Linked DNA regions of Coturnix japonica. The protein of the gene in region 3 purifies or fractionates together with the protein of the main gene of each other region. This does not show direct contact. Links are inferred from orthologs where the notes say so. Each region holds a gene or a part of one and is shown on either strand. Other genes may lie near its edges.

Region 1 (3,655 bases), on a different chromosome or scaffold from region 3:
TAGTAACTCCCAAATTCTCCCTCTGGATATTTATTAGCACTCACCCTCCCTATTAGAAGGAGAAGCAAAACTCCAAGAAATAGCTTTGAATTCTATAATGCCAAACCCACTAGCTAAGATCTGTGGCAATGTCAGCAGTAGGAGCACTTAGTAAACCAAATCAGCACTTACCGTTGGATTTAAGGTAATATGTGGAGCCAAACCTCCTAACGAATACACATTGATGTCATGATAACTGTACTGGGGCTGTGGAGGAACTGTGGCTGTACAAGTGGTGCTGGTAGCTGGAGTTGTAGAAGCAGCTGTAAGAATATAAAAATGCTTATTTTAACCATTAGGGAAAAGTGAGTGATTAAAATGGAAGCACGCACATCATTTAAGTGATGAGTTCTGACCATAATGCTTCCTTACAGGTACCCAGCTTTTTTCCCCCCACCTCCACAGTGTCTAGCACCAGGTTAACTTCAGGGCATTTTGGCAGCTGTTTGTTACAGCAGGGTTTGAACCCTGCTACAATCTCAATCTGTCTCCCAGCTTCACTCTCTTCTAAAGAGCAGTTACACACAGCACATGCAGAATTAGTCCGTGGGATGGCTTCCATTCCTCTCCCATCTCCTAATCCTGTTAACATCCTTCTATTACACCACTACTTTAGTGATTCTAAGCTTTCAGTAATGTTACAGCAGTGCAGATAGCTTCAAATTCTTCTCTACAAGCCTGTCTTTCTAAACTTCATACAGCACTGTTCTGAGTTTGATTTGAGGCATACTTACTGGTGGTTGTGATGGGTGGCAGCTCTTCTGGCTGCTTCACATCTTTCTTAGGAGCAGACAGCTGCTCATCCAGATTTTTCAGACGATCCTTATCTTTCAGGAGGCTCCCAGGTTTCAGCTCATTGATGTCCAGTGCAAGATTCTTGCAGAGCACTTCGATCTCAAACTTCAGATTCAACTGCACAACAATTTTAGTTTAGGTTATGTCACAAGGAAAAAAACCCAAACTGGCTGTTCTAAACCCAAGCTTCATGTTCTAACTCATGTTGTCTTTTCTTTTGCATAAGCAAGTGATGGTTAGACAAACAACCTGCACATTAACCTCACAGAAATCAAGACTCACCCACGCTCTTACTAAGTTAGCAATGCCCAGTTCCTCACACAATGAAGTGAGAAGTGAAATTTGGTCCCTCACAACATGTTTCTGACTGGTATTGTCAAGAAAACCTCAAGCTCAATAGGTACAGCAAAACAGAAAATTTACTTTTAGATCATGTTCTTGATGCAGCTCAGCTAAAACATTCATAATAGCCATTGTCCATGGGTTTGGAGGCCTGAAAACCTGCAAGAGAAAATGCAAAGCAGCATTACACAGTGGTCTGGAATGGTTTAGTTCCCTTAAGACTAATACATTTTGAAACTGAACCATTACATGCACATACAGACAGGGGAAACTGAAGTTTACACAGCTGCAGGCAAAGCTGCTTTTAGTATTGAGAGAAAGCAGATGAACAAGCAAGCTGAACGCCAAACTGGAAGCACAATTACTAGACCCTTCTGAGAGATCAGTTGCTTAGCCAAGCAGAGTTAAAGAGAGCTCATCAGAGACAAAACACGCATGTTGAGGGTGGAAGGAAATAAATCCACCCAAATAAGAAATAGATCCTAGAACCCCTCCAGTGGCATCCTTTTGTTTCTCAACAGAGGTCTGTGTCTGGGGATACTACAGTACAGTTCAGCCAACATCATCTGTTTAGGATGGACCCCCCCCCCCCAAAAAAAAAAAACAGAACAAAAAACCCAACCAGACAAGTACTTTATCTCAAAATGGAACTAACTTGAAGCCGTGATATCCCTTTACACCCCCCACTACACATGAAGTTCATTGGGTTTAATGAGAAGCACTACTTAATTTCTGCAATGCTTGTGTTGCCACTTGAGCAGTAACAGCCCCAATGTAGTCACTTACCACACTCCTGACACTGGATTCTAAGACTTTGGCAACAAATGGTACTACATAAAGCAATTCCTGCTGTCCCTTAACGTACGCTTCCAGTAGTAGTGACTTCACATCCAAATCCTGAAAAACACCATCAACAATTAAAAAGGGTAGGAAAGCAGAAAGAAAAAAACAAGACCACTGCAGAAATTCCATTGACATGTTATTTTCTTATAGGATATAATGGCAAAACAGAGTTTTACGGAATGCTAAAGAGTGATCTTGCATTTGAACAAAGATTCACAGATGGATATTTTGACGTAATATTACCCCCTTCATTTTGGTGATAGCATTTCCAAAACAGCCTATGCTGCTGAATAATACCACAGTAGTTTGCGTCAAGCAAGTCTGTGAAGACAGAAGCTTACTGTGTGCAAGATGGGCTTATTTTTAGCCAGTGTAATCATTCCCAGCCAGTGACCAAGGTTCTTCAACAAGGAACGGTCAGAGAAGTTGGCTGCAGCCTTATCTGATGTCAGTAGCACCTAATGGAAAAAAACAACTCAAGCAACAACTGGAAGATAAATCAGACACAACACCAAATCAAACAGCTGCTCTGACCTGAAGCAGAACACCAAGTTCTGAGCTCCAGTCCCATTACAGAGATAGTCAAGAGCAGCCTTTACCCTCAAGGTAGCATCCCACCAATCTGCCTTGTAATGACTTCAAAATTCCTTTACTTGGAGGGGATCAGAAAGGATTACGCCTTCCCAGAGCTTTCCAGTTACTGATAAGGCAGCTAGGCTACCCAGCAAAATGTAACTTGGGAAGACAATGCTTCTTAACACTTCATTGCAGACCAGAAGGCATTTCCTGGGAAACGATTTAATTCTTACTTCAAGACCTAAAACATGCTCTAGCATTCTACTATTAGCTTTGTCCCTTGGCTTCAGAGCAGCATCAGCCAAACAGAAGGCCAACCACACTCTAAAGAGCCAGGAGATTCTTTTGCACTACAGCGTAACCCACGGTGGCCAAGAAAATCCACCAACAGGTTTAAAAATAGTGCTTCCTTGACAGATTTGATTCACTCACTCACCTCATCAGGGCTATTTCTTCTTGACCTCTTCAGCATGCACGTTAATTTAGTCCTCTAATGATTTTTAGTTGTTACACTTCTGTTTACTCTAGCTCCCTATCCTCTATTTTTCAGCTAAAACAGCAGAGTGTGGTTCTCATCCTGATACTCTCCCACACAAACTAGACCACAAAGAAATTTTCCCTGCCGCAATTTGCAGGCCTCATACAAATATGGACTTAAATGCAGATATACCCTCTTAATCCTTTCTGACTGAAAACAAAACAATCCCAGTATTCATACAGTAAGATGTTAGCTTAAGCTGAAGTAGACTTTCCCAAGATACTCCATTTCTGAAGATAAGCAGCACAGGAAGAAAATGGCCTGAGAACAGCATACCTCTAAATGCTAAAACTTACCCAAGTATTAGAACTTGTGCACTCACCTTGATATTTCTGTAAGTCTCATTCAGAACCATTTTATTAAATTCTGGATTCTTAAGAGTGTCGAGGAAGTTTGAATATAAGCTGTGAAAATTTGGCTCAATACTGACTCTCTTCATCACGAGATACTGTGATACCCAAGGCATGAACTCTTCTTTCACTGTTTCCTTCAGTTCTTCAACCTGTCTCCATAGCAGAGAAA
Region 2 (3,655 bases), on a different chromosome or scaffold from region 3:
AAGTCCAGCTGTGCTGCTTAAGCACATCCCTGTCACCCAGAAATGCACGATGCTTCTTCTGGTTGTTCTGCTTGCTTCTCTGTGAGAACACTGAGACATTTTCTGCCCTACCTGCTGTTTCTGGAGCTATAGATTCTCTAGAAGGCAGTGTGACAGTGATGTTTTTTCCATACTGATCAGTTCAGTTTTGGAGTTCAATAAGAAAGTATGCAATGAAACTGTAAAATCAAAGGACAAAGGAGCAGGACCAGACTGATGTGATAGCAAATTCAAACATCGCTGCTATTGGCATTTGTATCCCACACCTGTAGTTATAACCTTTGAATGACGCAGCTTCTTTTCTGTCTTGGGTTTTCTGTATTATCTCTATGGTTAACAGTTAAAACTGAGGGTGAAAGTTGTAATGGTGCCAACGTAGGGGCCAGCTTTGCTGAGTGGGCTCTGGGAAGAGGGGATCCCAGAAGACCAAGTCAAAATATATGGTCAATGGTCAATGAATGCTGGTCTATGGCAACTTTTTGGTGCAGTATATAGGAACTCTGTGCTAAATATGTGACTGGGTTACTGTCTGTTAACTTTTTGGTGCTCATCAAACACCTCTTTTTTGAGGGCTGCAGTTGGAATAATAAACTTTCTTTGTGAACTTGACAGTAAGCAGTGCTGTATGTAAATTCACGTACGCTCTTGTCCTGATTTTGTGTGTGTGTGTGTGTTTGTTATATAAATGTTCTAAATTAAAACAGGTTAGATTGAATCACTCTGTTTACTGACCTAGTAGACCAGACTCGATCATTTAAAGTGTCTTTAAAATCATGGTGCACGTGTCTGATTGACACGTTAGCTTCTGTGGTCAGTATGGTACAAGCAAATGATGTAGAAATGTGCCACGTGATGAAAAATGTCTGTAAGTTGAAGCTTAAAGCTAAATCCCTTGTTTATGAAATCTTTCCGTATATGAATTTTGTCTCTTACTTGCGAGATGGCAACACGAGTTTAGAAAGCTTGTGGGTGGAATATATAACAATTACCATTCTCTGATAGCCTAAATGATAAGTCCCCCCAAAAGTACATAAAGCTATGAACACCTTTTTTTGACAGGCTTTGAAGACTGCCGAGGAGGACACGATTTGAATCATTCAAGCATTAAAATAGTAATACCCATGGAAGAGCCACAAGATTTACCCGAGCAACCAGTAAGTACATTTAAATAATACTCAAGGTGGGCATGTAAAACTAATCAGTGATCTCACGAACTCAGCATGCAGTTATTGTATTTAATAATGGGCAGTAAGGCTGTCCTTTATTAAAGCAGTAATAAAAGGAATGTGTGCCTAAACTCTGTAGTGCTTCTATGTAAAATTATGCCTAGTAATTATCTGTTTTGCTGAGAAAACCAGACCATTTATAATCCTAGAAGAAATTAAAAATCACTGTTTTAATGACAGAATCTGCATGCTGCCTGTTACCTTATAAATAAGTTTTAGTTATTCTTGTGCCTAAGATCTTGAAAAGGTTCCACAACCCTAAGCATGCCATCATCTCTATTGCTGGAGAGCATTATTTACAACCCTTAATTGAACAGGGCACTGATGTAGGTAGGTGTATCTTAAGATAGGAATTGCTGTCCAGACTTCCTAGATATCTGTGATTCTGCCACATTAAAAATACCGATGAGGTTAAATTATTTAAGTTATGCTTTCTGACACAACGTGCAAATCATTATGAGTGTGTGTGCATAAAACACAAGGCTAATCAGCAGAAACAGAATTGGAAGTCTAGATGTCTGCAGGATTTAAACTAAAATAAGAAAGGAAATATCTGTTATTACAGCATTACTTAGCCAAAATTACCTTTATTAACCTTTATTATTCAGGGCATAGGAGATGGAGCACGGCTTGTTTTTGGCACATGAGAGCATTACCTGTAAGCAGACTCTTTAATTGTTTGCTGAAGGTTTTCTATCTAATTTCATTTAGGTACCTTTTGCTGCTCAGTCATTCTGAGGCAGAATTTGAGACTATACTGATCAAAGCTGTATGATGTGATATCATCTTTTCAGCTTTATCACCCAGAACTGATACTGCACAAACTTGTTTTCTTTCTCAAATGATTTTTCTTTTCCTAATAATGGTCATTGCAAACTGTTGGTGACTGAATCTGGAGCCTGTAGGGAAGTCGTCACACTTGGAGTTAAATGTGTTTTACTCCCTCCATTTAGTGTGCATTCTGCTGCCAGGGATGCTAAACAGGCAAGACTTTTGTCCCTATTTTTAGATGCTTTTTCCCCTTTCAGATCTCAATTTAAAGTGGAAAAGTCTGTGTGAGACTCAGTGCTGGAAACCAAATATAAACTTGGGAAGTAAAAAAGTGAAGGAAAGTTTAGAGAGAAGTGACCAAAAGTGACATTTTCCATGACAAAAATAGTTTAAGAAGTGCTATTATTTGGCTTTTACAAGTGATTTCTTGTAGTAATCTCTTATTTGTTGAATGCATTGTGGACACATGTAGTTGATTCTTATGATATTTTATTTAATCCTGGAAGACAGGAAGTGACAAAAGTCTTTTTGCAAGGGCTGATGAACTTGTGTTATGTGCATTGCAGACACCCACAGAGCTGATCTGTTTGGAAGGAGTTCTCATATTGGGCAGTAAATGTGAATGATGGGGAGAACCCTGAGGTGGGAAGGGCTGCAGTGCTGCTGAAAAGACAGAGGAAAAATGGCTGTCAGGTGTTTGGGCTGAAGGTTTTTCTCAACTCAAATTGCCACGGGGATGGTGGTTAAACTCCACATTCCTGACTGGTGTACAGTCCTTTCTTCATAACATTGCTACAGGCAGTAATGCTACCATTGCTTTGGTTGTGTTTGCTTCAGCAACTCATCATCTGGTTGGTTGGGGGTTGTGCTTTCCACTCAGAAATTGGTCTATGAATATCAGTCTGAGTGGAGGTGATCTGACCTGAGGCAGAAGCTGTGTCTTCCACCCTTTTCCCTTTCCTTCCTTTCCCCTTTGAAACTTCTTTTTCTAATGAAAACTTGTTAGTTAGCTGTACAGTTCAATGCAAGGCTTTCTTTTCAACACTAATGCAAACTAAAGTAACCACTGGTGATGTCCTGCTGGAGGTCAGTGTGTGCTGATTCTGCCAAGGACAGCTCTTTTTAGTTGTGCCTCTGAACATTTCTGTCCTTGCAGGTGAAGAAAGCCAAGATGCAGGAATCCCGAGAGCAAAGCTTGAGGTATGTCACTTTGAATTTTATTTTAGTGTGAAGCAATTACTGGTGCTCTTATATTATTATAAGCTTCCATTTTAGCAGCATGCATATTGCTGTATTTGTCAGAGAGATGGGACAAATATAACCCAGTTTTGTGTTGGCTGTAAGAAAAATAAATTAAGCAACCCTTTGGTATTAAACCTGAGTTATATTAGTAGTTAGATTATTATTAAAAAAATAATAATGAAGGGAATGCTTTGACAAGAAGCAGTGAGCAAACAGTGTGAAATTCACCACCTAAATGTTAGAATCTGCTGGAAGCTGCACTTCCAGCCAGCATAAGGTGAGAGGAGCCCAGCCTAGGAGTGCCTCTGCTCTCCTAGGTGGTAAGTGATGGAAGATAAGAGCACTTGGGATGAATTTGTACTAAAGCACAGGTGTGT
Region 3 (3,195 bases):
ATCTCAATTGTTTAAAAAGTTTTAAACTTTTATTTTTCATTTTGCTTTTAGGAAAGTCTGAGATTTTATGGTCAGAAATTTGGGTTGTTTCAAAAGGTTTAGCAGATGGGCAGATACTCGTAATGATCTGAGCTCCACTTTGGTCTCCATAAGACTCTGGTAAAACTCTACGTAGCCTAATTGTGGAACATTTGCAAAGACACGATCTATCCCTGTAAGTCACAGGACTGGTTTTCACACGCGTCTTTTTTTGTTGTTATATTTTGTTTTAATTAATACAAGCGTCACTGGGGAGATATTTTAAACACCTATGTGCTCTAAGGTGTTAATTCCTTGGTTAAGAGTGTTTTGGATCAGTGGCTGCAGGTACACTGTGGTCTCTCATCTCCCAGAGTGTTCAGTCACCATCAAGGCATCCAATTCTCTTTTGAAACATACATCCGTAAAATTAAGAACAAAGACTTGGTTAAAAACTAATTTCAACGTGCACACAAAGAAAAAAAGCATCAGGCCAATTTCAACCTTGGTTTAAACCTGGCAAAACATCCATATGAGACTGGAAAAAGGATAAATGCTCAGAAAGAAGAAACTATGAAATGACCTGGAAATTGGCAATAACTGAGAAAAGTATATGAAGTACATTATATCCCTACAGTTAACAAAATCTAATCTGAATCAAAACTAGGACTTCATTCTCGAAGGAAATATCTAAATGAAACTATTTCTTCCTCTGCTGAATCGAAATTGAATTTCAGCTGACCTGGAATTGAAAGAGGACTGATAGTTGTCATCAGCTACTTTTGGCAGCCATGGTAAAATAGACTCACCTGCATCAGAACATGCTATTTTCCTGTGCCATGCAAATTAGCCTTAATTTCTGTCTGATTCAGATCTGCATGTTTGCATTCTCTGAACTTCGAACTGAGCAAGTTATTCATTCTCTTTACTCTGTGGTTTTTAATTCCTGCAGGATCTGTCTTACAAGGAGCGCCACTGGCATGAAACCTGCTTCCACTGCTTCCAGTGCAAGAATTCATTGGTGGACAAACCTTTTGCTGCAAAAGAGGAACATCTACTTTGTACTGAATGCTACTCCAATGAATATTCATCAAAGTGTAATGAGTGCAAGAAGACAATTATGCCAGGTTAGGATACTTAACGTTTGGGGCAGAAGAAAGTTCATGTTTAATATCAAACCTACTCTCAGCAACAATTGTGACCTTAAATTTCTCTGCTGAATCATGGTGAACTTCATAAAGCACAGCTGGTGATACTTTCTGCAATCAGAACCCAGTTTTCAGAATGAACTCAGTCCCGTAAGAGCTCATTTACAGAACAGAACTCTATTATTTGAGTTACAGATTGATAGGTAGTAATGGAGTTGAGATTCAGTGACTAAGAGATCCCCTTCTTCTCTTACAATTCAAAACAGAATAAACCAATTTTTAAAAACCTCTGCAGCAGCTACAGGGTTTTCAGCAGATTACTCAATATACCCTTGATTTAATAAAGCATTTTCATGACAAGCTTATTAAATGCTAAGTAATTACAGGCTTGATCTTTCAGTCCTGCAAACTGAATTCCCACCAGCTTCAAACTAGCAGGTAACAAACGGGATTCCCCATGCCTTGTGTTTTACTGATAACACTATTCCGAAAATAGGGATTAGCTTAAAACATGGAAATACAATTCTAGAGAATCCCAAGAAAATGTGTCCCCATCTTTTCCCAGAACGTCCTTCCTTGGAGGACTGACTCGTGTGCACCATGTGCACACAATTCATAAAGGGTGTCCATTAATAAAATGTCTCACAAACACTTGAGCATGTAAGAAACAAGCAGAGAGATGGTTAATGGTGCACAAGTCGGTCCTTTAAAAATATGTATATATTGGAGTATGCCTTTGGGCAGAACTTAATGAGACCAAAGAAAAAAAATAAAATTATGCTACTAGTAAACGAAGAATTAATATTTGACAAAGGGAGAATGGTAAAACTTCATCCTGCAGAGACAAATTATTACAACTTTTCATAATTAGCCAATACTTTATCACCTTGTCAGCCTTCTAACCACTTAACATCATGTCAGCCTTCTAAAAAGTCACCAAAGCTTTTATTGTTAGCAGAAAATGCCTCTCTTCTTTTTAGGAAAACCACTTACTCTCTAAAAACTCAAAGCAACACCCAATTCCATGCAAAGCCACTCCCTCATAGCTGCACTATTTATTTTCCATCAGCCAGCTGTCATGTAAACAAGAGTTACAAAAAGCATTAGTATCAGCCATAAATTCTACTTACATTCTGGTCTCATTACAGGTACTCGGAAGATGGAATACAAAGGCAACAGCTGGCACGAGACCTGCTTTATCTGCTACCGCTGCCAGCAACCAATTGGGACAAAGAGTTTCATTCCTAAAGACAATCAAAATTTTTGTGTTCCCTGCTACGAAAAACAGTTTGCCATGCAGTGTGTCCAGTGCAAGAAGGTACTGCCTTTGATCTATTTACCTATAATATTGGGGATTTAATTTCATCACATTTAAAGTACAACTATGTACAAAAAGTAAAAATCCCATATTTTTTTTTCTGTGTTAAAAGATTGGAAGACAATTGAGTTTTAGAGATGATAGAGTTGAAACTCCTATTCTGCACAAGGGACAAAAGTTATGTCATTGAGAATTCTTACCCAAGGTTAAAGTTCCCTTTGTATTGAAAACATACAGAGGACATGTTTAAGAAAGAAAACAAGCAATAAAAAACCTGCCTGCACTGGAATAACCTCCTATCTCCATGTAATCCATCATATACCACACACTCAAATGTTTTAGCTGGAAGGGAGATGAGCTAACACTTTTTATTATTTAATATTCTAATGAAGTTGAAGATAGAGAAATAAGCTTCCAGCCATCACTTACGCCCACATTGGTGGAGTCGCCATCACTGGCAGTGTTCAAGAAGCATCTGGATAGGGAGCTAGGAGATATGGTTTAGGGGTTTTCTGTAGGTATGGTAAAGGGAGGACAGTTGGACAAGATGATCTTATAGGTCCTTTCCAACCTTGTGATTCTATGATTACCAGAACTTCCTTTTGTGTTCACCACGTGCCCCAGTTCGCATTACTTTCACAGCAGCCCTCATACAGAGGAAAGAGGTAAAGACAGATGAATACACATATTAGACAGCACACCACAAGACTG

What was found. The genes of interacting proteins can lie anywhere in the genome.
Region 1: the proteins of FHL2 (region 3) and CNOT1 purify together in Homo sapiens (affinity purification with mass spectrometry; 3 studies listed by BioGRID and IntAct, with this or other methods). This does not show direct contact. The link is inferred for Coturnix japonica from reciprocal best matches to the Homo sapiens genes FHL2 and CNOT1.
Region 2: the proteins of FHL2 (region 3) and EYA3 purify together in Homo sapiens (affinity purification with mass spectrometry; 3 studies listed by BioGRID and IntAct, with this or other methods). This does not show direct contact. The link is inferred for Coturnix japonica from reciprocal best matches to the Homo sapiens genes FHL2 and EYA3.

The regions. Positions count from the first base shown.
Region 1 is NC_029526.1:1,180,070-1,183,724, reverse strand, and holds part of CNOT1 (CCR4-NOT transcription complex subunit 1), read right to left. Parts: intron 3,636-3,655; coding exon 3,456-3,635; intron 3,003-3,455; exon of another isoform or gene 2,867-3,002; intron 2,478-2,866; coding exon 2,361-2,477; intron 2,074-2,360; coding exon 1,963-2,073; intron 1,336-1,962; coding exon 1,258-1,335; intron 952-1,257; coding exon 774-951; intron 303-773; coding exon 172-302; intron 1-171.
Region 2 is NC_029538.1:1,391,231-1,394,885, reverse strand, and holds part of EYA3 (eyes absent homolog 3), read left to right. Parts: intron 1-1,098; coding exon 1,099-1,193; intron 1,194-3,192; coding exon 3,193-3,236; intron 3,237-3,655. UniProt on the Homo sapiens protein: Tyrosine phosphatase that specifically dephosphorylates 'Tyr-142' of histone H2AX (H2AXY142ph). 'Tyr-142' phosphorylation of histone H2AX plays a central role in DNA repair and acts as a mark that distinguishes between apoptotic and repair responses to genotoxic stress.
Region 3 is NC_029516.1:121,881,771-121,884,965, reverse strand, and holds part of FHL2 (four and a half LIM domains protein 2), read left to right. Parts: intron 1-970; coding exon 971-1,145; intron 1,146-2,314; coding exon 2,315-2,484; intron 2,485-3,195. UniProt on the Homo sapiens protein: May function as a molecular transmitter linking various signaling pathways to transcriptional regulation. Negatively regulates the transcriptional repressor E4F1 and may function in cell growth.